Notamacropus eugenii: one gene and its partner. The protein of the gene in region 1 interacts with the protein of each later gene in a pairwise test. Links are inferred from orthologs where the notes say so. Each region holds a gene or a part of one and is shown on either strand. Other genes may lie near its edges. The genes, in order: CIAO1 and CIAO2B.

The links.
Region 2: the proteins of CIAO1 (region 1) and CIAO2B interact in binary tests that used the Homo sapiens proteins (3 or more experiments, as listed by UniProt). The two-hybrid records come from large-scale screens. The link is inferred for Notamacropus eugenii from reciprocal best matches to the Homo sapiens genes CIAO1 and CIAO2B.

What each region holds. Positions count from the first base shown.
Region 1 is NC_092872.1:606,924,143-606,939,309, reverse strand, and holds CIAO1 (probable cytosolic iron-sulfur protein assembly protein CIAO1), read right to left. Parts: upstream 7,352-15,167; 5' UTR 7,082-7,351; coding exon 6,943-7,081; intron 6,507-6,942; coding exon 6,358-6,506; intron 6,025-6,357; coding exon 5,913-6,024; intron 5,802-5,912; coding exon 5,713-5,801; intron 5,225-5,712; coding exon 5,023-5,224; intron 4,892-5,022; coding exon 4,804-4,891; intron 4,157-4,803; coding exon 3,916-4,156; 3' UTR 3,667-3,915; downstream 1-3,666. Other genes in the region: SNRNP200 (U5 small nuclear ribonucleoprotein 200 kDa helicase), read left to right, coding at 1,828-1,920, 2,043-2,186; TMEM127 (transmembrane protein 127), read left to right, coding at 7,995-8,238. UniProt on the Homo sapiens protein: Key component of the cytosolic iron-sulfur protein assembly (CIA) complex, a multiprotein complex that mediates the incorporation of iron-sulfur cluster into extramitochondrial Fe/S proteins.
Region 2 is NC_092872.1:693,999,520-694,014,802, forward strand, and holds the start of CIAO2B (cytosolic iron-sulfur assembly component 2B), read right to left. Parts: upstream 6,104-15,283; 5' UTR 5,800-6,103; coding exon 5,652-5,799; intron 5,377-5,651; coding exon 5,297-5,376; intron 2,057-5,296; coding exon 1,931-2,056; intron 1,666-1,930; coding exon 1,620-1,665; intron 1-1,619.

The DNA of each region.
Region 1 (15,167 bases):
TTTCACCTTCAGTGCCATTTTCTTCACCTTTGAGAACCCAGTCATCTCCATCCCATTGATTCACTAGAGTAGAACTTGAGTGGAGGACTATAATAGTAGATTTCTATACCCAACTGAGTGTGTATGTTATTCCCTGGTTGAGCTAAATCTGATGAGAATACGATTCAAACAATGCTCTCCCCACTGTCCTTTCCCTCAACTGTAATAGGTCTTTTGTGCCTCTTCATGTGATATAATTTATCCTATTCTGTCTCTCTTCTCTTTTCTCCCAGTGCTGTCCTCTTTTCTCACCCCTTAACTTTTTTTTATGTATATTCTTTCTAACTGCCCTAATAGAGATACAGTTCTTAAGAGTTACAAGTATCATCTTCCCATGTAGGGATTTAAAGTTTAACCTTATTGAATAACTTAGGTTGTTTATTTCCTTTTTATGCTTCTCTTGAGTCTTGTATTTAAAAATCACATTTTCTTTTCAGCTCTGGTCTTTTCATTAGCAATGTTTGAAAGTCCTGTATTTCATTGAATTTCCATTTTTTTTTCCCCTGAAAGATTATGCTCATTTTTTCTTGGTGGTTGATTCTTGGTTATAATCCAAGCTCTTTTGCCTTCTGGAATTTCTTATTTCAAGCCCTCCAATTCTTGAATGTAGGTGGTGTTAAATCCTGTGAAATCCTGACTTCTTGATATTTAAATTGTTTCTTTCTGACTGCTTACAGCATTCTCTTTGATCTGCTGGAATTTTGCTCTAATATTCCTGGGAGTTTTCATTTTGGGATCTTTCAGAAGGTGATTTTTTTGAATTACTAACTCTGAGTCTAGGATATCAGGACAGTTTTCTTTGATAATTTCTTGAAAGATGCTGTCCAGGCTCTTTTTTTGATCATGGCTTTCAGGTAGTACAGTAATTCTTAAATTACCTCTTTTGGATCTCTTGTATCAGGTCAGTTATTTGTCCAATGAGATATTTTACATTTTCTTCTATTTTTCATTATTTTGATTGATTCTTGGTATCTCTTGATTAGCTCCCATTTGCCCAATTTTAACTTTTAAGGAATTATTTTCTTCAGTTACCTTTTTGTACCTCCTTTTCCATTTGTCCAATTCTACTTTTTAAAGGGAGATGTTTTCTTCAGTGAATTTTTCTCCATTTTTTTTTCATTTTTTTTGTTTACTTAATCAAGCTGCATGATTCTCTTGCATAACTCTCATTACTTGAACCAATTTTTCTGCTAACTCTTACTTGATTTTTTAAAAATCTTTTTTTGAGCATTTCTAAGAGGACTTTTTGGGCCTGAGACCAATTCATATTTCTCTTATGAGGTGTTGCATATAGGTCTGTTGACATTGTTGCCCTCTTACGAGTTTGTGTTTTGATCTTCACTGTCACCATAGTAGCTCACTGTGTGGTGGAGGGGAGGGGATTGGGCTAGCAGCTCACCTGCTGGTCCTAGAGGCCTCACAGCTGGCCTGCTGAACCCCAGGAGGCTCCAGAATTCATTTTGAGGTTTGATTTAAAGTTGTATTGAGGGAAACTGGGGATAGCTTAGGCAACTTCCTGCCTTTTCTCTGACACACTCAGTTGCCCTCATTTATATGTCACTTTAAAGAGCTATGTAAGTCTTCCTTTTAACAAACTTGTGAGGTGAGTGGTACAAGTATTATCTCTTTCGTAGAAAAACTGAGATTTAAAAGACATGAAGTGCCTCATCTAGTTATGGTTAGTAGATATAAAGAGATGGGATTCAAACTCCATGTTTCTTTCCATTACAGTGGTGAATACTGAATTATCTTTGTTTATTAAGGTCCTTATTTTGTTCACTTTTATAGAAACGTGAGGAGGGCTGGTGGGTGGTGATTGGAGACTCCAAATCCAATAGCCTCATCTCCATCAAAAGATTGACACTACAGCAGAAAGCCAAGGTGAGTGAATTGTTCAGGCATTACCTGGTGGGGAAGGAGCAGTACTGGAGGGAGGTGGAGAGAAAGGGCAGGTTCTCTAAATCCTAGAACTGCTCATCTTCATTCTTTCTTTCCTTCTCTAGGTGAAGCTTGATTTTGTGGCTCCAGCCACTGGTGCCCATAATTACACTCTCTACTTTATGAGTGATGCCTACATGGGATGTGACCAGGAATACAAATTCAGTGTGGATGTGAAGGAAGCAGAAAGTGATAGTGATTCTGACTGAGTCCCAGGGAATTCATTTAGTCTCACAGAAAACTAGGATTTAAAATGTGTAGTTGTCTCAATCCCTGGATTTTCAAAGATCTGATATGTGAGGGAATCATGCTAGTGTTGGCTTAGCTGTCATGATTTTCATCCTTTATATTTTGTTTAGCCCTAAATCCCCTTAGTAATATGAAATGTCTACTGGTTTTTGTTGGCTATGCTGAAGAATGGAACTTGTACAGTTTTTTTTAATGTGGTTCTTTGTAGGTCTTTTTTTGAGTTTTGAATATTCTAGTAAAATTATTTGAAGACTCCCTGACTTGACTATCTTTACTTTTTGAAAGGGTTCTGTTTAGTAGTAAAGGTTCATGGACAGCCCCTTGCCTAAGGTAGGTATTCCATCCTGCTCCATTGGCCAGATGTAACTCCTCAGTACAAGTAAATGCATTATGAGGCCAATTGCTATTCTCAGGTAACCACTCCAGAATTTTTGGTCAGGGTTCAAGTTCTCACTTATTACCTTCCTCATTAACTGAAATGAGGTCAGGTCAGAAACTGGGTTTGTGGTTTAGGGGATGACAGGGGTGGCTAATTCAAATCAGGGTAACATGTTGGCCACTAGTACCCTAGCTTCCTTGGAACAGCCATCCTACAGGCTGGTCAGCATTATGAAGTCCTGCAGTTTCCAAGCACCAGGGGGCAGCATAAATTGCCCAGTGAGCCATATAGTACAGTCATATTATATTATTACATAGAGCTTTACACACAGCTTTCTTCACTTCTTTTCAGCTCATATGCACAGTATTATTTTAAGTAGATGATCCAGGCAGGTTTGAGAAGCCAAAGTTGGATGTGCTAAATCTGTGGATTTCCTTGAATTGCTATCTTCCGCAACTTCTTCGAAAGCATGTGGAGCTGGAAAACATGCTAAATTTGATCTGAAGGAGACTTGAACATTTTTGGTAGTGAGTTATTCCTGGGTTCCATTCAAAACAGGTTGTGGAGTGCAAGGCACACTTGAGTTCTGGCCCTGCTTGCCTTCTGCAAGAAGCCTTTCCTGGTCCCCGATGTTAGTACCTTCTGAGATTATTTCCTAAATTTATCCTTTATATAACTTGTTATATAGATAAATGGACAAGAAGGTGCTAATAAGAATATGAGCCACTCTTATTCCTAAATCTGAGCAGAACCAGCTCTACTGAGCTGGTCCACTCCCAGCTTCCCTGTAGTCGCTGGAAATTTTTCTATGGGTCATGAATACTTACAGTGGTCATAAGGCTGGCAAAAATGGCTTGGGAAACTGAGATACAGAGCTGAAGAGAAGTGATTAAAGGTGTACTGAAAGGTATTTCTAGCATCCAGTACTGTCACTCTCTTTTAAATAGTCAATTTATTCACTTTGGTGGGAATTTCCCAAAATGAAATTGGACATATACATAGTATAGATATTTAAGTAATTAATACTCCATACCCACCTGAATGCAAACAAAAGCTGAGGATAAGATTTTTAAAACATTTTATTTTACACGATTGAACTAGGGGGCAGGCCCCAAGTTGCAGGATGGAAAAATTAGTGATTCTAGCGCAGGGGATTAAGTTCAAACATGAAGAGAGTGAAGTGGGCACTGTGCTTCTTCAGGCTTTTTATGTAGACTGGGAAAACTGATTCTCATTTTTTTCCCCTCTGGGAAAAGTCAATATTATCCCTCTGCTAAAAGTTTCAGAGGATGTGGGTGGCGAAAAGGGCCTTAGAGACCTTCTGGTTGCTGGTATTTCCAGAAGGCCATCTCACCATCATCACTGCAAGAGGCCAGTAGCCCTGGCTCCTTGGGGTTCCAAGCTACGCAGTTCACATCCTGGGAGTGGGCCTGGGGTAGGTGAGCTGTTAGGGAAAATGATGGCTGCTGAGGGTCTGAGCTGGGGTCTTCTTCAAATACCCGGATGGCATCATCACCACAGGCTGTGGCCAGGGCCCCTGTTAGGTGACACCTAGGAAGAAAGATGTTGCTTTTCAATGCATAGGTCAATTCTAAGCAGAAGTGGAATCGTGATGTTGGGGAAGTGGAATCGTGATGTTGGGGGAGGTACTAGTTTTCCCAACCTGGACTCTCAATTCCAGTCTCCCTTAGAATTCAGCCACAAGTTTTACTCACGGTCTTCCTTGAGCAGAATAGAAATCAACCCATATAATCCTAACTTTTCTAAACCTCTATGAACATTATTATATGCAATTTTAGAGGTAGTTTTAGCTTGGCAGAGATTGAAGGAAAGGTCCCCTAAGCTATTTTCAATACAGAGGTCTAGAACTCAACCAGAATTTGTGCTGAAACTACTTTCCAGTCTTTCTTAATATATCATAAGGGAAATAACACCATATACTCCAGACACAGAGGCACTCATTTTTTGATAGTTATAATGACTGAGAAATAGTATTCATATCATCATAGCCCAAATCAAGGTGATCTCCAGGCCTACACACCTTCTTTCTAAATACTCCCAGACTAGAGACTACTGTGCACTTGTTATATCAGGCCAGTACTGGCCACATCTGGCAAAATCAACAATCTGGCTCAATCCCAATGAGCAGAAGGCAGTGCAGCATATGCATGTACCAGCTTTATGAATGAGTGACTTACCAAGAGACATCATAGATGGTTCTAGAATGGAAGCCAGATAAGGTACAGATACACTTCCAGGTAGGGTCAGAGCCATTGCAGACCACTCCTGTTAAAAAAAAAAGTCTCCAATTAGTTTGAAAAACATCCAAGTTACTTCTTGTAGCAGATGTTCTCCAGAGGACTCTAATCCAAGTCTTAAGAGAAACCATTCTCTGCCTTAAGTTTCTGGCAACTCACCCTGCTCATTGCCTGGTAGGTACTGGCGCCAAATGCGCACAGTGCGGTCATCACTGCAAGATGCCAGGCGCTGGCCACTGGGGTCAAAGGACAAGCTCCATACTGTGGACTCATGGCCCTCCAGGGTAGCATAGCATACCCAGTCATCCTCTTCCTCCCGGTATAGCTTTATCGTGTCATCATAGCTGGCTGATGCCAACAGCTAGAAGGAGCATACACAGGACATATCAACATTGCTAGGGATGTTAGAATAGCATCTGTATAGTGCTTTCAGATTTGCAAACATCACAGGTGTCACATTTACACATCTCTCTTGATCTTGACAGGTATCGTCACTCCTGTTTTACAGATGAGAAAATTAAGGCAGATCACAAAGCTAGTAAAGGTCTGAGACAGCTTTGAACTCAAGTCTTCTGACTCCAAATTTATCCACTGTACCATCTAAGCAGCCTATGTTAAGGAGTTATGGAATGACCACTATCTCTTCCCACTATTTCCCACAGACTTTTACAGCTTGGAGGGGCTTTATTAAGGCCATTTCTAAGAGTAGCTTCAAGGTTTCAGTTTGCAACACAACAGAGTCCAAGTTCAGGAGGGATAGAATTAAGACTGTTTAACATGAGAGCATCTCAGCAGTCCCATATTCAGATACTTTTTGTGCCAAGAGATGCCCCTACCCCAGACTCTTACCTCTTGGTTAGGGTGCCATATCACATGTTTAACATCCTGTGTATGTGAATTCAAAACACTGACACATTCATATTCATCCTCTTCATCAACTGTAGGAGGTAAGGACACTGTAAGCCCAACAGCCAAACCCATCAAGGCAACATTTAACAAGGAGGCAATCCACCCCCTTTCTTAACTCTCCCCCAAGCCATGCTACTCACCTTCCCAGACCCAGACACTCTTGTCCCGGCTGCAGGTAGCCAAAAGGCTACCAGATGGGGCCCAAGCAACTGACTTTACTTCATTTTCATGTCCTTCAAGGGTGGTTACACACTGGAAAGTATAGTGGGTGAAAGTCAATGAAAGGAGAGGGTCCAGGAAGGCCTTTCTTGATCCTCCCAATCACTGCCTTTTCCCTTCCTCCATCTTAGATAATTATTTGTATACATTTTGCATTTATCTGTATTTGCATGCTGTGTTACAGCCCCAGCCTCCCCTCCTACAAAGTGCCTAGCACTCAGGGAATAAGTAATAATGAATACTATATTAAACGCTCAATTGAAATGAATGAAGAATGCCCAGCACAGGCGGGCTCTGCCAGGAAGCTGGAAGAACCTGTCCGTGGTACTCACGCCTGCTCTCCAGCCTGCTCTCCAGCCTAGTTACCTCGAACTCGTCCTGGTTCCTCTTCCAGATACAGGTGGTGGCATCAAAGCTTGCCGACGCCAGGTAGCTCCCACAGGGGGACCAGGCCACCTTCCTCACGGTGCGCTGGTGACCCTCGGCCAGAACAGACTTACACACCCAGCTGTCCCCTGGGGAGAAAGGATGCGGGGACAGCCTCAGCCAGGAGCGGGGCGTGCGGAGGAGGGGCTCACCTCAGAGCACCGCGGGGACCTCACACTTTTCTTTTGGGGGGCGGTGGAGGGACGTGACTGGCGGGATGGGGGAGGGGAGGAATCTGGGGAACAATTCCAGGATGGTGGGGGGAGGCAGGTAGCGTGACGTGCAAAAGCTCGGAGCCGGGAAGACCTGGGTTCGAATTCTGCTGACAGTAGGAATCAAGGGCGTGTTATCAGAACCTCTCGGAGACGAGGATCACCCCGTAATCTTCCCTCACTCGACTAGGGAGCGCCCAGAGCTTCGGGAACTGAAGCGCTGGTGCGTGCTATCACTACGCCCGATTTGGGGGCGGGGGGCAGGGGAGGCCGAGGGCCCCGAAGGGAGGGGGGCGGGGAGACAGAGCCTTACCCTCCTTGCCCCAGATGCGAATGCTGCGGTCACCGCCGCACGAGGCCAGCAGGGTCCCGGCAGGATTCCAGGCCAGGAACCAGCAGCGGGAGTCTGGGTGGGCTGGCACGCGGGCCAGGAGAACCAGGGAGTCCTTCATGGCGGAGCTCCGGCTCGGCTGCACTCCGACGCCCCCCGCCCCGTAGGAGGCCGAGTCAAGGTCCGGTCGGAACTCTAGCAGTAACTCGCCTGCAGACTCCCGCGGCGACCCCCAGGGTCCCGCCACTTCCGCTCTTGGGCCCCAAAGTCTCCTGGGAACTGTAGTGCCCGCAGGGTCCGGCTGCCGTACTGCCTTCTGGGAGTTGTAGTTGTCGCCTGGGGCCTCGGAAGCACGATCGGCTCTTCTGCTGCCTCACGAGCCGCGGCCGGCTGGCACTCCGTTCGCAGCTAAGCGGACTCTTCCCAGAACAGGATCCGGCGGAGCCCGAATAGTCCCTGGATGCAATACCGGAGCAGCAGAGACGGGGTGGGGGGAGGGGAGGAAAGGGGAGGAGGCTTACGAAACACGCACGCGGCGTCATGACGAGTGGGCCGGGGAAAGGAGGGGTGGGGGCGGGGAGCGGGGTGCGGAGGGAGGAAGCCGGAAGTGGACCGGGCTCTGGCCGAGTCCGGGCGTTGCGGTTTAGGGCTCCGGGATCGCTCGGCCGGGGAACCTGGCGGGCGGACCCGGGGCGGGGAGCGGAGGTGACGGGCCCGGAGCTGCGTGTCGCGACCCCCGGTAAGAGGTGAGCGGAAGGATGGGTAGATGGATGGATGGGCCGGGGGATGGGGGCTGTCCTGGGATTGCCGGTTGTACCCCCCTCCCCCAGCTGGAGTGACGGGCTCGGGCCCCCCTCTCCGCCGAGCGCCGGGACTCCGCCCCCCCGCTGTGCCAGGGTGCGAGCCGGGCCGCCCCCCACAGCACCCTCCTTTTCTCTCCTCACCCAGGCTTTCGGTCAGCTGAGGCTCGGCAGCGGGCGAGCAGCGAGCGATCAGTCCCCAAGGATCGGGCCCAGCCCGGCGGGCTCCCCGGCATGTACGCCCCGGGAGGCGCAGGGCTGCCCGGTGGGCGCCGGCGGAGAGGCCCAGGGGGCAGCGCCCTGCCCAAGCAGCCCGAGCGGAGCCTGGCCTCCGCGCTGCCGGGGGCCTTGTCCATCACTGCCCTGTGCACGGCGCTGGCCGAGCCGGCCTGGCTGCACATCCATGGGGGCACCTGCTCCCGGCAGGAGCTGGGAGTGGCCGACGTGCTGGGCTATGTGGACCCAGACCTGCTCAAAGGTAAGGATGCTCCCGACGTCCTGGGTGGGGGAGGGGCCGGGGGATGGACGGAGCCGAGCCGGAGCCGGAGCCTGTGGGGGCAGCCGTCCTTCCCGTGCTGGTGCCCACCAGGTGGCTCTGTCTGAGGCGACCCAGTTCATTAATTTTCATTCTATTTAGACAACCTCTATGGCATACTCCATAGCTGGAACATGCGGATTTTGACAGCATCCAAGGAAACCCTTACCATTTCAGAATTGTCATTATTACTGTCAGAAAGCGAATCGGGCCGCTTTAGTGGCTTCTTCATCCCTGGAGGGCTCCACAGAGTGGTCGGGTGACCGACCACTTGTCCAGGCTTCTGTAGATGGGGCTTAGACGAGGTGACCTCTGAGGACTCTTCAGCTCCAAGATTCTGGTTGATTGGGATTCTTCCTAAAAGAAAGAGAATAAGTAAAAGGGAGCCAATTAGGAAATTACCAGGGTACAGGAAGGATTCCTGATGGTTATCTGATAGTGAGGTAGGACTTTCAGTAGTGCTTAAGGTATCTTGTACTTCACTTATTGGCCTCTCTGAATGAAATGTCATTTTCCTCTTTTCTATGTAAATTCGGTCAAATGTTGCGGTTATTGGAAATGTTACATTGTACCTAACAAGCTCAGTTGATTGATTCCTTTTACCTCTTTACCTTTCTTGTGAGATAGAAGAAAACAGATTATCCTCCTTTCTTTGTTCATAGAAGAAAACCAAGGCCCACAAGAGGGTGTTTGTGTCTGTGGTGCATATGCCTGTGATTTGTGTGTTCCTGTGGTGGAGTCGTGAATGGAATTTGGGCATTCTGCTTTTCACTCAAATACTTTTAGAAGCCAGATCTGTTTTAGTGACTCATTGACAGTAGCAGTCTACAGTTTTCAGGACAGCCAGTTTTCCTCATAACCCTTACAAAAGTGTCCTTGTACACTATAAGACTATAACAGATGTTATATCGGATTATGCTAGCATTCTGTTTTGACCGTCATTGTCTCTGACAGTGGCATTAAGGAATGTTTGGTTTGGAAGCATAGACATCCTTCCTTTGACTTTAATCTAAAAAGTTATCTATGATCCTCAATATCCCCAGCTTTTAACACGTTATAGACATGATGTCAATGTATTTTTAGGCCAGTCTTAAACTTTCTCATATTTATATTTATCCCATAACACTTAAGGAATCTGACTCTTTCAAACTCAAGGGATTGTTTCTCCTATTTTGAGAAATATATAAACAAGTTTCTCTGCTGACCGTTGCATATCTTTGTATGTTGCCCTGCCCTTCCCTTCTTATCAAGCTGAAAAATCTCATCTTTTTCACCACCTTTCAATTCTCTTGATTGCTTTAGTTGTCTTTAGATCCTTCCCCAACTTGATGATATGTTTATTTAGGAAGCCCAGGCTTCACGCAGCTGTCGAGATGTAGACGTACTATGATTTTCTACGTATACTGTGTAACAAATTCAGTTTTTCTCCCTGGTGATACACAGTACTACATTGGCCCATTGGGTTGATCTGTTCAGGGAACGGTTTTGGGACAGCACTTAGATCTCTTTCCTGGTACATATCTGATAGCTCAGATCACAAACTAAGTATGTAATGTAAGTATGTTTGTAAGTATGGTTTGTATAATTGTTCCACATTAAAAGTCATATGCCATTTTTCTAACTTTGTGATGTTTTCCTATAGTTTATTGTTTTGTATTTCATCAATTGGGAGAGCTTAGCATCTGGCTATCAGGAAATTTTACTTTCTGTGCCCTGTATACCATCATTCATGGGAGAATTGTGGAATAAAATTTTAACATTGGAAGTGTTATTGGATAAAAGTGAAGTGAATACTTTAATCCTGACTTCTCATTCTACAGCTGAAGAAACTTGGACCAAAAGTAATTGTAACTTGCCTAACGTCACACTCCTAATTAGAACAAGAATAGAGTCCCTAGGTCTTTTGACTCCAGTATTTATTCTAGTATGGTACCCTATACCCTCTTTTTTACATTTCTTAATCCATTTTTCATTTCCCTATTAAGATTGCCCCTTGTCAAAAACAAAGCTTTCCCATTGCCAGCAATTCCGTTAATTCAGTTTGGTTGTGGATCCTTGTCACAGGCATTTTGAAGATCCACTATATAAATTAGGTATATAGGATTTCCCTTGTTTATGTGTTTGTCTCTTCCAAAAAAAGTATATAATACAGTATGATTTCATAAAAAGGAGGTGATTCACTCATGTCCTGATAATGAGAAATCATAAATGGAGAGCCCCAAGGCTTCACTGATCCCTGCAGAATGTTAAGAGAGAGGCCTCTCATACTTTGGGTAGATCTTCTATGGAAGATGTCTGTGAGGTCATGAATGCCAGTAACACAGGATAAAAGGTGTGTGGATGTATTGCCTCCTGCAGCATTAACGTTACAAGTCTATTGAAACATTAAAGACAAATTAAGTATTGAATATGTTTAAAAATTGGATCATATTGAATAGGAATATTAAAGACCAGTGCAGTGAACTTTTCCTTTATTATAGTTTCTTTACATAATAACTTGGTAAATAGGACCACCTCTTTTATCTTCTTCATGCTAGAATCATACAAGGCCTGTTGGTGAATAAATTTGACATTGGGAATGATATCCAGTTATCCACTCACAGACATTAGAAAAAATAAAGCAGTAGGAGAGAGCCAGAAGGGACGAGTATCTGGTAGTGTATCTTACTTACTTTATACTTACTTTCCTTTTCCTTTTTATGCTGAAGCCCATAGGAGTTTTGTAGCCCATAAGAGAACCAGATTAATGAACATATAGCCTAGTCTTGGTTCCAGCTCTTTGGGGGACTCTGAAAGATTGTCCTAGTGCGTCATAGAAATCCAGGATTTCTCCTATCCCTGAACATACCAACAAAAGGGAAGGTTATTAAAGCCTCCGGTTGAAAATCTGTTTTCATTTAATTAGTTCCTGAAGGAGGAAGAAACCCTGGGAAATCTTTGTAGATGATTGGGGAAAGATGGACAGTTAGCCTTGGACTGAATCAGAAGGGAATTCTTCTTCATTAAATTAGAGCTATCCAGGGTTTTTCTTTTTCAAGTTTAGTATCTTCCAAAGCCAGTCAAGGCTGTCGTCCTTATCTTCTTGGCTACTTTGATGTTGAGGCTTAGTGTTTTACAGGGAGAAATATTTAGCTTTAAGCAATGATTCAGGAAGCTTTGGAGACTGGCAAATACAGGCTAGTTTGATCTCATTCGGGTCATCCTAAATTGCTTCAAATCCCCTAATCGAAGGCCTGCCTTGTATAGAGAAATCAGGGTTAGGACCAGCTCAAAGGATATCTTCAGCTTTCCTGTGCTCCAAAGAGGTTAGGGTATCCTTCAAAGAAAGACTAAAGTGATGATGACTCTCAAATGGAAAAGCTTTCTTTAATTCCCAGGTCTGTTTGCTGGGTGGTGTATTGGATACAGCTTCAGGAGTAACATCTTTTAGGAATGCGGAAGGTTGAGATTTGTTGCTTGATGAATCATTGTTGATGATCAGCCATTGGAATTTCAAGTATCTTCCAGGGATTTGACAGTACATCTGAGGTTTAGTTGGCATATGTGTAGCTAGATCCTTCCAGGTGCCTTTAGTTCATTCAAGACCAGATTTATATATTTCCTTTTGACTTTTTGGTTACTATGGTGACAGACTCCCTCAGAAGACTATTAGGATCAAGTGTCAGCTCCCTGTCTTGGATTCAGTCAAATCAAGGTGGAGAAAAAAAGACTAAACAGGTGGGTCTTCTTAGTGCTAAGAGGAACTGAGTCCATCAGAGGTTTTTCCCATCTGTCAGGCAGTAACCTGAAGTTGACAGGGGCGCCAGTAAGACAGAGGGAAGAAGAAAAGGGAGCTACTCTGAAGCAAAGTTAGGCATTTCGCCTGCAGTCTGTCTGAGTAAGGCAGTGACTGGAGTGATGAACAGGCAGACAGGAAGAGCCAGAGCTTTCAAAACAAGACCAGATTGGTGACTCACCAGTGACCTTGGGCAAAGTCAATTCCCCAGGATCCTGTTACAGATGACAACAGACCTTTTTGTGTGGCCAGAGGTGGCAGTCTCGTTATGCCCACCAGCTTAAAGAACTCAAGAACAAAATCTGATGACATCCACTAGGGACTTGTCTTCATGTCAGAGTAGAATAGAATAGAACAATTGGTTTAAATTAAAATAAAGAAGCTTCTTTCAATCCCCACTGCTTTCTTTTTATTTTTTAAAAATTAAATTTTTATCTCTCTTCTCCTTTCTTCCCCCTGCCCCAAAGTAATCATTTGTTCTAATTTTGTCCTTTCCTGAGAGGACCAGATTTTATAATAACATACCATCTTATATTTATATAGTCATTTCAAGTTTTTATAATATTTTCATATTCATGAACTCATTTCAGTTCCAAACAACCACCCTTTACATTTTTTTTCTGAATTTAACCTATGCCAAAAAAAGAATATTTCCATATACTAAATAGAAAGAAAAGGAGAGTTATGTGTAAAAATGCAAATATCTATTATGTACAGCTTGTTCTTTAAAAGTATATAGTAAAATGGTCAAAGGATATGAATAAGCAGTTTTCAGAGGAAGAAGTAAAGCAATCAGTAGCCATATGAAAAAATGCTCTAAATCACTAACAATTAGAGAAATAAAAATTAAAACCTTACACCCATCAGGTTGGCTGTTTGTTGTTGTTCAGTCCTATCTGACTATTTGTGACCCCACTTTGTATTTTTTTGGCAAAAAGATACTGGAGTGGTTTGGCATTTCCTTCTCCAGCTCATTTTACAGATGAGGAAACATGAGGCAAAGATGGTTAAGTGACTTGCCCAAGGTCACACAGCTAGTAAGTGTTAGAGACTGGATTTGAAGTTAGGACTTCCAGACTCCAGGTCAGGTGCTTTATCCACTTCACCGCCTATCTATATATTGGCTTTGCTTGACTGGCTAAGAGGACAAAGAAAAATGACAAATTCTGGAGGGGTTGTGGGAAAACAGGTATACTAATGCACTGTCTTCTTATTGAGTGGGGGAGGATGAAAAAGAAAATTTGGAATTAAAGATAGAATTGAGTTGTAAAAAAATTTTAAGTATATAATGAAGTCATATTATTTTCAAAGCCATGCTGATTATCTGTTTCCTTCTGAACTTCCTTCATTTCTTTTCTGTGCATTTTAAGAATAATGACCCATAATTTTTTTTTTTGGCACTCTTAGAAATAGTTCCTTTTCTCCTCTCCTACATTATATCCCAACCATAAAAAAAAAAAAAGAAAACACAATCCTTGTATAAAATAAACATAGACAAGTAAAATAAATATATAATTTGCTCTTTCAAAAAATATGTCTACTTCTACACCCTTAAATCTGTCACCCCTCTGTCAGGAAGTGGGTAATGACTTCTTTGCCTATCTTTGGAATCATGGTTGGTCGAAGTTGTTTTTCTTTATTACGTTGTTATTGTATAAATAATTTTGTATCAATTCATACAAATCTTCCCAGCATTCTCCAAAACTATAATATCGTATTAGATTCATACACCATATTTTGGTAAACTATTCTCCAGTTGCTAGGCACCTACTTTGTTTTCAGTTCTTTGCTGCAACAAAAAGAGCTGCCATAAATATTTTCATACATTTGAGTCTTTTTCCTTTTTGATCTCTTTGGGCTATAGAGTTGTAGCTGGGCCAAAGGGTATACATAGTACAAATGTGCATTTGGGGGCATAGTTCTAAATAACTTTTCAGAATGGTTGGAGCACTCTGGTACATGAACAGTGCATTAGCATATCTGTTTCCCCAAAGACCCTCTAACAATTGTTATTTTCCTTTGCCATCTTCAATGCCAGTCTGATAGGTATGAGCTGGAACCTCAAAGTTGTTATAATTTGTATTTCTTTAATTATTAGGGAGTTGCAGCATTTTTTTTATATGGATGTTGATAGCTTGGATTTTTTCTTTAAAGAACTGATTGTTCATATGCTTTGATCATGTATCTTTTGAGGAACAGCTGTCATTCTGATATATTTGAATTAGTTCCTTATGGATCTTTGATTTCTCTTTATCAGAGAAACTTGTTGCAAAGAATTTTTTTTTCCAATTAACTATTCTCTTTCAAAATGTAACTAAATTGATTTTGTTTGTTGTATCACTAATAGTGGGATAGGGATTCTGAGGAAAGTGTACCTGAGAGAGGTTAAGTGATTTGTCCAAAGTCACAAAGCTTTTAAAAAGCAGAACTTTTCTTCTTTTGAAGGTCATTCAATCCAGATTTATCATTCAGTCCAGATTCAAGTGGCTGTTACCTACTAGTCCCAAGGACATTTTCCCTCCCTTCTACGTTAATTCAGTTCCAGACTCACTGTCTTCCTGTCTGCCTCAACTCTTTCCCCCGTTCTAGAGGACTTCAGCATCCTTGTTAATGTTTCCTCAGATACCCTCACTTCCCAGTTTTTCAGACCACTCAGCTCCTATTCCACTTGACCTGAGCTATACATAGCATCATCCCCTTGACATTGATTATCCACAGTTCTTCTCCTTCCATGTCAAGTAACTATATCTCCTTAATCTGATCCTCTTTTATTTTTCCAGCTCTCTCTATACTTTAGCCCTCCTACCATGACATCCAGTTGCACTCCATCCCAGCTCACTTCTCCTACTCTGGCTACATGGTCCTCCTTTCCCAGTCTGGACCCCTTAGTGAACCAGTTTAACTTTATCCTCTGCTCTTGCATCTCTAGCTCCCTAGTCCTTTTGCCAGTCGCTCCCTGCCAGACCTGAACCTTGGATCACTTAATCCCATTGTCTGTCTCTTCTGTATCTATTCATTTGGGTCCGTTATAAATTTATGCTAGCTGATCTCAACTGGGACCTCAAGTTACAGGAAGCCAGTCTTTTCCTCTTCCTTA
Region 2 (15,283 bases), about 87 Mb from region 1:
AGAAACAAGCAGAGACAGGCGGGGTGGGTTATGGGAGTAGTGCCCCCAGGGTCTAGGCAGCCCCCCTACTCCCCAAGCTCCTCAGCACCTCCTGCCTCAGGGAGGGGGTTCCACAGTCTGAGGGCTCAGAGCAGAGATTGCCAGAACTGGAAAGCACCTCATGGAGGTGAAGTAAAGGACCAGGACAAAGAATCTGAGTGCTGGAATGGACACACTCAAGATCTCTTCAGTCTCACACTTCACTTCATAAGAAACTGACTCCAAGGGTCCAAGGGAAGGAAACTGACTTGTCTCAAGCCATAGTTCTGGAAAGCCAGACTTAGAACCCTAAGTTCCTGACTAGGCTCAACGCCCCTTCTGCTGTGCTATCGGGAAGGGTGGGGGGTGTCAGCCCTAATTCTCTCTCTATCCAGTCAGTTACCAAGTCTGTTGTTTCTTCCTTCTGAAGATCATTCGGATTCCCTGCGATCTGTAGTCAGATGGCCACCCCTGTTCAGCCACTGCGTTTCTACACTTGGGGTACTTCACTCTTCTTCAGTCTTTGGCCTCCTGTTCATCAGGCACCAAACTAACTCTTCCTGAATGTCATTTAAACCCTCTTGTCTAAAACTCCCTGTGGCTTCCATTGTCCTGCAAGGCTGATTCTGGATGGGTCAGCACGCCCTGGTCCAGACTGGCCTTCCTTATTAAGGCCAGTCCCCTCAACTATGCTGTAGACCCATGGGGGCCTTCTATCCCGCTGGTCTTCTGTTCTCCCTGGCAGTAATCATCTTCCCTTTTTCACTAATCTGTATCCTCAGGACTTATCTCCTGTGAAACCTTCTGGATTAACCCTAATCTGTACTGATTCCCCTGACTTGTAATTTCCTAAGCACTTATAATTAGTAATTTAATAACAGCAATAGTAATGATGAGGATGATGATAAATAAGTGCTATCTCACGCAATGCTCATACTCACTACTGTAGCACTGCTCTAAACTGTTTATATTCTTCCTCAATAATTAGGTTAGAAATGCTTCAAGGGTCTCCTGTGCCCCCTCCCAGAACCCAGGTAAGCAGAAAGTACTTGGCAAGTGGTCACTGCAAGAAGCCCCAGGTCCCCACACCCGCCTCCCTGTACCCCTCTGGCCAGACCCACTTTCGTCCTTTCCCCTTCATTTAGCTGGTTCAGAAAACCAGTGGCCAGCTGTCTGCCCTGACACCCTGCTGCACTTTGTCCCCAGGAGGGACACAATCCTTGGGCCAGACCTCCATCCATGGACAAGGCTCCCTGCCCCCCAGTGGAAATACTGACAGGCAGAGAGAAAGTAGGGAGTGAGATGTCATGGGATGTTTGATGAAGGAAAGGGGGAAATTGAGGTTGGCTGGCAAGGAGATGGTGCCCATAGCCAGATTTCAATTCATATCTTTCCTCCTGACTCATCATGATCCTGGGAAAAAGGGTTGAGGGAAGGTCACTTGCCCTAATTCAGACCCCAGAAAAGGAGAAAGATTTCATACTGAGTAGATGGAATCCAGGGAAAAAAACCAACCCAATTCCATCCTTTCGTGAGTGTTTTCATTGGAACTGAGAGGGCATTGCCAGGGGGAGAAGTGTAGGACTGGGGACTATACTCACCAGCATGTTCTGAGGCATGCGTCCCAGGGGTAATGTGAACATCCATCTGGAAGGAAGAATGAAAGAACCACTAAAAGGCCTTGAAGAAGTCTGATCCTTGATAAGTGCCCATCTCCCAGGCCTCTCAGGGCATGAGGCAAAGTGACTTAGAAGGAGATTTATGGCTCTTCATTCCTCAATGGCCTTTTATAAGAAACAGCAATGTGACAGACACCTCACTTGAATTCCTCTTAAAAGTATTCAAAGGGTTAATTAACAAATCAGGTACAGAGCTAGTATGTAAGTAGGGAGCACTCATGTCCTTCACTGACCTTGAACCTTTCAGGCAGGGAGCGGATCAGCTTGACTTTGATGGACAGGCCGATTAACGTTGCCATGCTGCAGTGAGGTATTGTGGGAGTGAATTCCACAGCCACTGTACTCTCTCTGTCATTAACCTGCAGAGGAAGGAGAGACTGCTAGCTACTGTTTATCTGGGCTCTTCTCCCAATGTCAAGGTCAACTTGCCATAGGGAGGAAAACACCTAGGTCAACACTGATGCCTAAACACAAAGGCCCACACTGCCTCTAAGTTGTTTCTAAAAAATTCTGAACTTAATGCCAAATAAAAAGAACATTTTCATATATGAAGTGGAACAGAAAAGGGGAGCTCATGCATGAAATTGTGACACTCTATTATGTACAGCATGCTTTACTTTGAAGTTTATAATAAATTCAACTTGTAACTTTCAAAGCTATGCTGATTCCCTGGGCTCTTACGTGCTCTTATAGTGCCTCCTTGATGGTCAAACTGCCACAGAACTGCTCAGGAAAACTATGGCAGACCCACCTTGCTTCCCTCCCTGAATTCTCTGTGTATCAAGAATCAAAAGAGGCCTGTCATACCAGGTCTCAAACTATATTCCATAATGAAGTAACCATCAAAATGATTTGGTACCAACAAGTTAAAAAAAAACAACAGAGAGGTGATGAGTGTAACAGATTTGGCATCTAACACAGAGAGCAAATGAACCCTGTAGCAAAGTGTCTGATAAATCTAAAGACCCGAAGTACTAGGGTAAGGTCTCCCAGGAAAACTGGAAAGCAGTTTGGTAAAAACCAGGTATAGAAAACATCTCACATCATATACCAGGATAAACTCCAAAGGGATATATGACTTAAATATAACAAGTAATATCATAAACAAATTAGAGGAATAAAGAAGGAATTATATTTTGGATATATAGGTAGGGAAAGAGTTCATGATCAAAAAGGATCACAGAAAAGAAAATGGACAATTGTGATTATATAAAATTAAAAAATATGTGTAGAAATAAAAATAATTCAGTTAAAATTAAAAGGAAATTATGTTACTGGAAAAAAAATCTGAATTTCTGTGATAAAAATCTGATATCTAAGATATGTAAGGAATCGATTTAAATTTAAAAGAAGAGCCATTCCCCATTTGATAAGTGGTCAAAGGATATGAACAGGAAGGAAGAAATCCAATCTATCAACATATGAAAAGGTGCTCTAAATAAAGAGTAAAGAAATGCAACTCCGAAGTTTTACCTCATACCTATCAGGCTGTAGACAAAATAGGAAAATGACAACTGTTTGGGGGGGAAAGCTCCAGGATAATATAAGTATACACACATATGTATATGTCATATACATATGTATGTATATTTTTCCTTTTTAGAGGTAATCAGGGTTAAGTGACTTGCCCAGGGTCATATAGCTAGTAAGTGTCTGAAGCTGGATTTGAACTCTGATCCTCCTGACTCCAGGGCCAGTGCTCATCTACCTAGCTGCCCCAAGACTAGGAATACTGATACAGTATGAATTAGGCTGGCCATCTGGAAAGAAATTTGGAGCTATGATCAAAACATCAATAAATTGTACATGCAATTTGAGCCAGTGTTTAGCACAGTGCCTAGCTCATAGCAGGAGCTTAATAAATGCTTGTTGACTTGGCCCAGCTATATTATTGCTTGCCTATAATCAGGATCAGAGAAAAAGATCCATATGTACAAAATTATTTATAGTGGCTAATATTGCTACAACTTTTTGTAGTAGCAAAGAACTGGAAACTATTGCAGAATGGCTAAACAGATTATGGCATGTGAATGTAATGGGATATTATTGTGCTGTAGAAATTGGTGAAATGAATAGCTTCAGAGATACCTGGAAAAACTATATGAACTGATGCACAGTGAAGAGAGTAGAGCCAGAAAATAGAACAATATAAAGAAAACCAACTTTGAAAGCATTCTGATCAATGAAATGACCTATGCTCATGATTCCAGAAGACTAATGAAGTCTGCTAGCCACTTCTTGACAAGTGATGGATGTGAGATGCAGAATGAGACACATAATTTTGGACAGAGTCAATGTGGGAATCTGCTTTGCTTGATTATTCATATTTGTTATAAAAGCTATGTTGTTTTTCCTAAGAGGGGAGATGGAAGGCAAGCAGGGAAAGACATAGGGCTGCCAAACCCTGCGCCCCACCCCCCCCCAAAACTAACATTTACATGGTGCTGTAAGGTTTGCAAAGCTTACAAATATTACCTCATTTAATCCTTCCAACAATCCAGGGAGATAGGTACTATTATCATCATTATAGAAGAGGAAACTGAGGCAGACAGAGGTTAAGTTACTTGCTCAAGGTCACACAGCTGAGTGACTGGAACTCAGGTCTTCCTGACTCTAAGACTGGCACTCTAACCTCTGGGCCACCTAGCTGCCTTTCTAAGACAGTCATCAAGGCATCTTTTTTTAAAGCACAGAAAAGAGACCGGAAAGAAGCCCAGGAAACAGCATAGGCATGCAGGACAGTTTTGAAAGCTATAGGTTAAACTTAAGTACTTATTTTAAAAAAAAGGCAAGTTCTCCATAATAGGGAATCTGCAGCTTCATGTATAATCCTCTTTTTCTGTTCTACTATGAATATGGAAATATGCCTTTTCATTTTGGTATTACGTTCATAACATTAAAAACAGTTCTGTATGTAGTGTTTCTTCTATATTGAAGGAAAGAATTCTACCTGTGTACAAAAGAAAACAGCTATCTTAGAAGCTGCAGCTCCATCCAAGGAGAGAAAGTCATGGGGGATTTGAGTCCTTAACAATTCCATTCAATTAATATTTATTAATGGCCTGCTATGTGCCAGGCACTGATAAGTGCTGGGGAATACAAAAAGATGGAAAAGACTGTCCCTACCCTCCAGGAGGTTCCAATTTAATGGGAGAAACAAATATACACGTAGCAATCTAGGTCAGGAAAAATAGGAAATAATGAATAGGTTAGGTACTGGAGTGAAGAGGGCTTGGAGAAGGCTTCCTGTAGCACTTGGGTCTATGGGGGCTTTAGAGGTCATCCGGGATAAAGAGCATGAGTTCTGGAAAGGCAGGAGTTCCAGTTCGGACCCCATCACTTCCCAGCGGGGAGACCTTGGGTGAATCACTTCTGTTAAACCCTGCAAACTTCCTAAACTTAAAGCACAAACTCGTACAAAAGGATGCCAGCTCCCTTTCCTTTACATCCCCTGCCCTCTGCACAGTGCCTGGCACTTCATAAAAAGCTGCTGAGAACGCATCCCTGAGAATGGGGGCATCTCTACCCGGGGAAGGGGCAGAAATCCCCAAGGTGACGGTAGGACAACCCCTCCTTCTCCCTCCCCACCCCTTCCTCACTTTCACCCGCACTTGCTCCACCACATTCAACTCCTCCAAGGTGAGCGGGTGCTCGGGGTCATTGATGGACCGGATCAGGTGTGCGCAGCGAGTGAAGGAAAACACTACTGCATCACGGCCAGCAGGGGGCGCTCCAGAGCGCTCTCCCCGGTTCCAAGGCCCCGCCCACTTCCCCCAGGAGGATCGCGCTTACGCCCCGCCCCCACCCCACCCGGGCCCTGCCCAACTCCCGAGGGCGATCACGCTCACGCCCCCACTCTCGCGTAGTCCCGAAGCCTCGTTCCCGCCCCCGCCCCTGGGGTTCTCGGCCCGCTAAGCTCCGCAGGCGCGCGATTTCCCACTCGCCAGAGGATATCGAAGATTTCCCGGTCGTCGATGCTGTCGGGGACCTGCTCGTCCTCCTCGCCCGCGGTGACAGGCCGCTCCCCCGACCTTTGGTAGATCAGCGGGTTGGCGTTCTCCAAGAGGCCGCCTAGGCCCGCGCCGCCGCCTGCGCCCACCATGTTATCCGGACCCTAGGCGGGCCGTTCAGGGGGCGCCCCTGCCGGCGAGGCTCACTTCCGGTGTGCGGCTTTGGCCGCGAGCAGGCAGAGGGCGTTTCCGGGAGGGGCGGCTACGGTGGTGCGGAGAGGACAAAAACGTTCCCCTTGCGTTCTAGCGCCGCTCCGCCGCTCCCTAAGCCGCCTAAGGGGAAAGGACGGGGAAGGGCTGTGAGAATCAGGGGGTCGGAGGCGGCCGCGGGGAGGCCGCTGGACCCGTGCGTTCCCTGGGCCAAGTCACGACACATCCTTGGGCCGCAGCCTTCCCGGTGTAAAATGGGTGGCTTGGACTGGGGGACCTGGAGGCGTGGCGTCAGCCTGGAGCGTGCCGGTTAATGTTTAACCACCGGCTCTCGGCGGGGGTGGGGCAGGGGCGGGGACGTAGGACGGCGTGCCTTTATGTTCCTTCGGCTTTAGTAACCTTTCTTAAGCCTAGATGACCCGCATGACCGAGCACCCAGCCCTGATTTGTAGCATTTGCAGATTCTGAGGCGAGGTGGACGGGTCTACACTGGAAATTTAACCCGGACTCTTTCCAAACCGGTTCAGCAGCTCAATTCAGGAATTATTGAGCGCCTTCTGCATGCAAGCCTTCCACACACAAAGACAAATGAAACTGCCTTTGTTTTCCAGGAACTGGCGCCCTACTTGAAGGAAATAATAATAATAATAATAATAATAACATACCTCACATTTATATGCCTGTTACTACGTGCCAGGCGCTTCGTGATTATTGTCTCACTTGATTTTTACAAGCGCTGATATCCTCGTTGTACGGAGGGGGAAACTGAGGCAAAGGCTAAAGCGCCTTGCCCAGGGTACTGCAGCTGGTGTCAGAGGCTAGATTTGAACACAGGTCTTGGAGACTCCAGGCCCAGCTTGGTCCGGTGAGCCATCTAGTTGCCTGCAGCAGGTTGGGATAGACCTTGGCCACAAGAACCCAGAGCCTGAGATGCCTCTGGCACACCCAGGCCGAGGGGTCCTGCAGATCTGGAAACGAAGAGAAGGATTTCAGGCTTGAGGACAGGACCTGGGAGCCCTCTGTGTAGAGATGGTCATGGAAGCCAGAGGACCAGAAGGAAGACACACCATTAGCAAATCTTCCTTTAAAAGGAGTCAGAAGGTTTCAAAGAGGCGTTTGCACCCGCAGGGAGCCTTGGATCACGCCGTGTCTGGCTGGCTCATTGTGAGTGTCCTGCTCCTTCTTCTCTCTCTGTGATCTCATCTGTCTGTCTCTTCTGCTCTCTCTGCCCCCTCTTCCCCCCAGGACTCCAAACCTACTAAAAGCTTGACCCTTTCTCCTTAACTCCAGGCCTACCTGACCTGCTGGACACCTCCACCTGGAGGTGCTAGGGCACCACATATACACATTGGGACTCATTATCCAGTCCAGTGCTCCACACAGCTGGGAAAATGATATCCCTGAAGGACAGATGTCATTCTTCAAAAAGTTCCATTGGCTCTTTATTTACTCTAGAATTTAAAAACTACAAAACCACAAACCTACAAAAAATCCACAGTTTGACATGTAGATCCACTTACAATCTCGCTTCTGCTCACCCTAACAGGATCATCACACCTTTCTACCTTTCATGCCCCATACATTCAGGCCAAGTTGGCCTTGCTGTTTCTTGTGGGCAGCATTCCGTCTTCTGTCCCCTGTCCTGCACAGATGGTCTCCAGTGGCTCGGAAGATCATACTCCTCCCCTTCCCCTCTTAGCATCCCTAGCTCCTTTCAAAGCTCAGCTCCAGTGGTGCTTGCTAACATATGTCTTAAATCTAGGATACGCTTAACAAGGAGTGCAGGAAACATATAATGAGGTAGGGAGTTGGTATAGATAGTCCAGTGGGTACTGAATATCTTTATGAGCCAGTACAAAGCCAGTTCAAACTAATAATTCCTACAGGTATGGTTTGTTAACTATGCCAGGGAGAGAGAGAAGTGTTTTGCTGGGGCCACTTGTGAGTGATTGCTAGGCATAGTGTCCTTGGGGTGGGAAGAAACTTCCAGGGATAGTGTTTTAAGGCTAGGAAGAAATGTGATCTTGGAATTAGGGTCCAAGCACAGGCACTCAAGCACCTCATCAGTACCATGCAAAGATGAGAGTTCTAGATCAGTCTATAACATGATGTGCAGCTGTATAAAACTTCAACTATATTCAGGGAAAAATCCAGCATCAAGATGGTGCAATGGATAGAGCCCTGGGCCTGGAGTCAGGGAGACCTGAAACAAAATCTAGCTGCAGACACTTATGAGGTATGTGACCGTGGGTAAATTACTGAGTTTCTGTCTGCCTCAGTTACCTCAGCTGCAAAATGGGGATAATAAAAGCTCCCACCTCCCAGGGCAGCTAAGTGACTCAGTGCATGGAGCTCTGGGTCTGGAGTTAGAAAAGCTCATCTTCCAAAGTTCACATCTGATCTCAGACACTAGTTGTATGACCCTAGGAAGTCACTTCATCCTATTTGCCTCAGTGTCCTCATGTGTTGAATGAACTGGAGAAGGAAATGGCAAACCACCCCAGTATTTTTGCCAAGAAAATCCCAAATGGCGTCACAAGGAGTCAGATGCAAGTGAAAAACGACTGAACAACAATTCTCAGGGTTGTTGTGAGGCTCAAATACAGTAACATTTGTAAAGGGCTTAGCCCATAGCCTGGTACATAGTAGGTGCTTAATAAATGTTTGTTCCCTTGCCTATTTAAAGAGCATAGTTTGAAGCATATGATTAATAGGTTCTGTTGTTCAGGGTAGAGTATCTCATTAAAAAGTTCTAAAAAAAAAGTTAAAATTCATTGTGCAGGTACAGGATAGAGAACTGGCTTGATAATACTTTATACAGAAAAGCTGGGAGAATTAATAGATGTCTTTCTCAGTGATTCAGGTCATTGGAATTCATTCTTGTTTGTTCCCCCTCCACAGCATGTCTACCCACACCATCACCTGCAGACTTGAAGTCATCGTCGCTGCTCACCACGTATCGTCTCTCATCTGAATTCTCATTATCTCCTGTCTCCACTTCACCCTCCACTCGGTTACTAAAATTATTTCCTTTGTAGTGGTACAGCAGCCTACCTTCCCATTTACTTCACATTACATCCTCACTTCCATGAACACTGTGTTCTGGCCAAGATGATCTCGGCTTGTTATCTGAACTTGGCATTCCATCTCACATTTATTTAGTAACTAAAAATTTTCAAAGCATTTTACACATATTTGCTCATTTGACCCATGAGCCAGTATCTTGTTTTTTTTTTATCATCCTTCAGATCTGGTGCCAGCCTATTGTTCCAGCCTCATTATATATTACCTGCCTTTCCCTCCTCTTCCATCCAGCCAAACTAGCCTTTTCTTTTCTCTCTACACATTGACCTTCCCCTTGCCTTTGTATCCTTCATGCCTGGAATGTAGTTCTATCTCACCTAACAGAATCCCTCACCTTCTACACACTTTCCTGGTCTTGTCCCTCCCCTCCCACCCCAATTGTTAGGACCCTTACTCATTAATTACCTTGTATTTTTTTCTTTACATGTTTATTCTTTATTTTGTTGTCCTTTCTCCTGCCATGATATAACAAGTAGCTCCCCTTCTGGATGACTTCCTCTTTTGTACTCTTGACTTGTGGGTTGGGTTGCCAGAGGGTTGCTACTACTTTGAGTTCTGAGAGTAATCCTTTGGGTCTGCACTCCTAATAGTGTAGCTTCTAAGCCTATACCAATGTGTTTTCCATTAACAGTCAGTATATACAATTACTATGCAAGGGCATAGTAAGGTGACATTGTAAAGACAGTAGCTTTGAAACATTCCATCTGTTAACAAAGGCATGCTTGACATAGACCCAGCATTGATAGGAAGAATGAATTCATACTTAGAATATAATGGCAGTGAGAGCAATGAGGAACGTTGGTACACATATGGCAGAGGCTACTCACAATTCCTGGTACTATAGAACTGAAAGTCCTTTCTTCATGGAGTGCTCCATTGGGTTCCCAGGGTCTTTTCTTCATAAGCACCTAGGTGGCTCAGTGAATGCAATGCTCAATCTGGAGTCAGGAAGAGTTGAGTCCATATCTGGACTCAGACATTTACCAGCTGTGTGACTCTGAGCAAGTCACTTAACTTCAGTCTGCCTTGGTTTTCTCAATTATAAAATGGGAATAAAAGCACCTATCTCCCAGGGCTAATGTGAGGATTAAATGAGATCATATTTGTAAAATGCTTGGAACAGTGCCTGGCACAAAGTACTTATTTATTTACTTCTCAGCAGCCAAAGGTCCCATTCTTTGTTTCCTCCAAGTAGTATCTGTATCCGTGTGTGTTTCTGCTTTTTTAAACTAAGCATTGTCCAGGTGAACCTGGAGAACTCTCAGTCTTCTGGATGAAGTCTCTTAGTTTACTACTAGAGTCCATGGCTGATGAGGGTGGTGAGGGAGACAACTTCCTTTATGAATCTCCTCCTCAAAACTCTCCCTAGAGCCTGGACTCCCCTAAAACTGACCAGGTCTGTAGGGCTTAGCTGTTGAAAGTCTACAAAAGCGTGTCTCTTTGTTGCTTGTCTAATAATGTTGTTCACTTGAATTCTATCAGGGAAAGGTATTCACATGCCAAAGGAGGATCAGGGAAACAAAAGGACTCAGAAAATTTGAAGGGACCTTCATGACCATTAACTTCAACCTATGCATGGAAGGAATCCCCATTATAACGTACTCAACAAGTGGAGTGAATGAAGCCTGCTTAAAGACCCCTAAGGAGGAGGAACTCTCTCTTTGACTTTTGAGGGGGCTCTAATTATTAGGAAGTTTTTCCTACTTTAAGCCTAAATTTGTTTTGTTTGCAACTTCTACCTCTGACTTCTGATTCTTCCCTCTGGGGCCAAACAGAAGAAGCAAAGTGCCCATGTCACTTCCCTGCTGTAAGGTCTGATGTCCCTATGCATTGGGATATTCTCGGCTTGTCCAAACAAAGGAATTAGTTTTCTAATTTCTAATATGGGAGCTGCAGATTAATTATAGATAATAGTTTAATCAACTGGGTTACTTACATTAGGGGCCCGTGCTGTGATTGGTTAAGCTTGTTGTCCTTACATTAACTTGTCAGAAAAAGTCATGACAAGTCTTTCATTGAGGGTCGAGAAAATCAAATTATTCTAATCCCATTTTGTAATCGATTCCATTCTCTGTTGTAAAATTGCACAAGCCACGTTTATCCCTGAACCTAGTTCAGAAATTCAGCTGACTTGTACTAATTTAAGTTCAGAAACTGGGCTTATCAAATACCATTGCTTCTTCCTTTACTACCCACAAATTGTAACAATTGTGGGAATTTTCTTATTGGTCATGTTGTTTTCTTACCTGTGCTTGTGTTGCATTTGCAGTTTATGTCCCTTCTGGCTATATCCCAAATGACCCCAAAAGCCCCAATGTAGAACCATGCCAGGGACCTTCTGAAAGATATTCAGAAAGAATGCATGGGAGGCTTTCAGGGGTGGATTGTGGGGTTCCTTTTGGGGAAAAGGCAAAAAACACAGTGGGATATGAAAGTTATAACTTAAACATAGACATGATGACCGGTACATGACCAGTCCCAACTCTGTGTTTAGGCGTTTACCCACTAGCACTAGCTTAATGCCCAAGCTCAAAAATAAACTCATTACTAAGCTAAAACCCGTAATCTGTAATGACATAGCCTATATACTCCTCCCTTGTCTGTTTCCTATAATTATCACTGGGCTTTCCTGGGGTCTTTGCAGATTGCATTCTCCATTATTGAGACTGTTTTGTCTGACAGCCTCCCCAGACTCCTTAGATGTTCCTGCTAAAATCTCTTATGTAACAAATCTCAATATAAGTTGGCACAGCCTCTGAAATTTCATTTTCCAGTAACTAATTCATGTTGTGAAAACCAGCACAAACCTTGGACTTCTGTTCTTATTAACAATAGAGCTATAAGGGGAACATCAAACTAGGAACCCATCGTTGATTTGAAACTTCAGAAAATCTAAATCTTTGCATATCTCATTAGAATTAGAAATTTATATTTACATACAGGATTGTCTGATCTTGTTAGTTTCTCACAATTTTCCTCTCATTCCAATTACTTTAGGAGGATCAGATGTTATTGAAGAATCAGTCCTATGCATGAAAACATAAGTAACGACACTTGCAGATAGACGCTTTCCACACCTAAGTTCAATGGTTACACAAATGAATTTACTTATTTACTTATACGAGGCTGACTTTAATTATAATAATTATAATAAAATAGTATAATAAAATTATTTATAAATATAAAAAATTATATATATAAATTATAATAAAAGACATGGGAGGATACTTAAATAATTAATTCCAAAACAGTACATATCAAATAAGTTGTTTATAATAAAATATGTTTGTACTACAGGACATGCAGTACAAACAGGTATTATTTCCACATTACTAATAAACTTGAATGAAATTGACTTTTTCATTAATATAACACAAAATATTCCATGAGTTACATCCCTCTAAGAAACTGACTACACTAAGATTATTTTCCCCAAATCAAACTGAAGATATTTCTAATTTAGTTTTAATAATTAATAGAATAGCTAGGTCCCACAAACAGCTGTATCAATGCCTAGTTATCCTTACACAGTTTTGAAACATTTTAAGGACCTTATTTCATGCAGACACATGCATATGTATATACATATACATACATACACACATATATGTGTGTGTGCCTGTATGTATAGTAATAGGCAGATGATTAGGCCATAGACTCATTTACTAAGTTGCTGAGGATGTAAAATGGCTACGCATTCAGATTGAAAACAGTAAGGTCATGATCACATACATGGGCATTATGCCCATGTCTTCTATTGATCACTTGCTCAGAGTAAGGGAATTTGCTATAAAAGGAAAAAGCAGCGACAGCATTATAACACACCAAACTGGTCTTTAATGATTCAACATCTATATGGCAGGATAAAGCATCCTTAGCTCTGTTTGACTTCAGGCAAGAGTCACAGTTGACAACCAATCTTGCAGCAACAATTCCACTGCTTAGCCAGATTTAGGAATAACTAGGTTTAAAATATTCCTGTTCAAAAGGAACACAATGGGGATACCGAGACAGAAGGATCCTACCTTAGCCTAAGCCAAAGGTTGTCCTCTCGGCTTTCTCCCAAATATAAACCTCTACCCATGACAGATCAGGGTCACGTTTCCTGAGTAGCTTCTAGCATTTCTCTCAAGTGGTGGATTATTGACTTGATCCATCAGACAATACCTGAACTCAGACCTTAAAACAAAATCAGTTACAGTCCCAAGAACTTTTGCTTCAAATGGCAGGTTTCACCAATCACAGCTAGGGTTAGATAGTTATTTTTCCTCTCATGGAGTTACAATAAGCAATAAATTTTTACCAGGACTCAAACATATATGAAATTTTACTTAATATTTTTCACTTGTTTTTATTTTCTTCTCAAGTTCGAATTTGTCCTACTGTAAAGACCAATCATTAGAAATCATTTGTATATTATACATAATCTTGCTGCACACCCTCATATCCCTCCTTTCCACACACAGTAATCAATTACCAATTTTAAGTTTTAATATTATAATAACCTGAATAACTTAGTTAACACTTTTACACTTTCATAAATGATGGCCAAATTGCTGTAGATGTAACCTCTTAAATGCAGGTAAAGGTGAAAATATCCAGTTCCCTAAATTGCATTTATAAAACATAAAACAGGGTTAGTAGGTCTAATAAAATAACATAACTGATTTTACACAATTTTTCTACCTTGTTTTAGTTTCTTTCAGTTCATACTCTAATAATATTCAAGTTATAAAAACATATGTGGTGCAAAAATTTACCAATTTGTACAAATTATGTATTTGAAACTTGAAACCAACCCATTACTGATCAGATGATGCCAATCCTGTTGAATGCATTTCCAAATTACCTTATGCAGAAAATCAGGCATCTCATCACCACTAGCATCTAATCTAATCTAAGTCACATCTAAAATCCCATACAAAGTTATTAAGTATGAAGCAATTACATCCAGTTAAGGAAATAATAATGACAGTTAACATTTGTAGTGTCTGCCCTTTGCCAGGCATTGTGTTAAGCACTTTACGCTCATGTGAAGTGAACTGAGGTAACTTGTTTAAGGTTACCCGGTTAACATTTTCCCAATTTGTCTTAATACCAAATAATATAATAAATTCTGACCTGTCTTAAGCATCAAATTAAGAGAGACATCTCAAATGTGTCTCATTAAAATGTGACCAGAATAAATTCAATTACCTTTTGATTGTGTCCTGGTACACAAAAACTTTTCCCTTTTTCGTAAACCAGGAAAGGGTTAAGTGCCAGTGCAATTCCAGAGTGCAAGCCCTGAAACTTTCACTGACGCAACCCCCAAATCTGCCTCTTGATAATCAGTGAAATTACCTTCTTCTCTTGCTGTAAAACAATAAACCAGTTATTCAGGTGTGTGAGTGTGTGTGTGCGTGCGTGCGCGCGCGTGACAGAAAGGAAGAGAAAATCTTTCTAAAAGCTTAAAATTATCTAACCAGATATAGAAAGACATTAGCACAGATACAAGAAGCACAAACAGACCAACAACTTTTCTTTCCAAAATTTCTGAACCATTTGTTCTCAAATCTGTTCATACTGTCTATGCAAACAGATAACGATGTTCTTTCTGCCATGCTCCTCTCATTCCTATATGTTTAAAGTTTCTCTCCCGTCCTTTTATATACATATCCCTCTAGTGGACTTTGATTAAAGTCTTTTTAAAACCACTTCTCTTGTTTCTTTCATATTTTGATCTGACTCTTCTCTTACTTTCTTCTATTTGCTTTTACCAGTCATATCTCAAATAATCTTCACTGAATATATTTTTCTTACTTAATATTTATTTCCTAATATATTTCTCTCTCATCCACCCACCCCTCTGAGGCTGCTGCTATCAGGGAGGGTGGAAAGGAGAGAAAGAATGAAACTCTCTCTATTCTATATACCATCTTCTAAATCTTCCCCTGTATTACTGTCTTCCAAGGGGTCCCTCACCTTATCCCCTTCTTATCTACCTTGTCTGCCAAGTCCCCAGCTATGAGAGCAATGGCTTTCTGCATATCTCATTCCAACTGCACTTCCAACTGATCTCAGTTTCTGAGTCTAGATCCTTAGTAGTGGCTTCCCTCAATGGTGTGAGAAAGGGCCATCCCACATGAGCCACCACTTATTTCCCTTCCTTACCCAACCTGATGGAACATAGTTCCACCAGGAGGTTCTCTGGTCATTTTGGTGTTTTGGTGGCATGCTCATACTCATGAAGCGGCCCATAAGCGTCCAACACCTGGTCCACCCCATACCACGTGGAGGTCGCAGGCCATCCAGGGATTTGCCTGGTCTATCCCCTGCTCCCTTTAATATTTCTTCAGTATT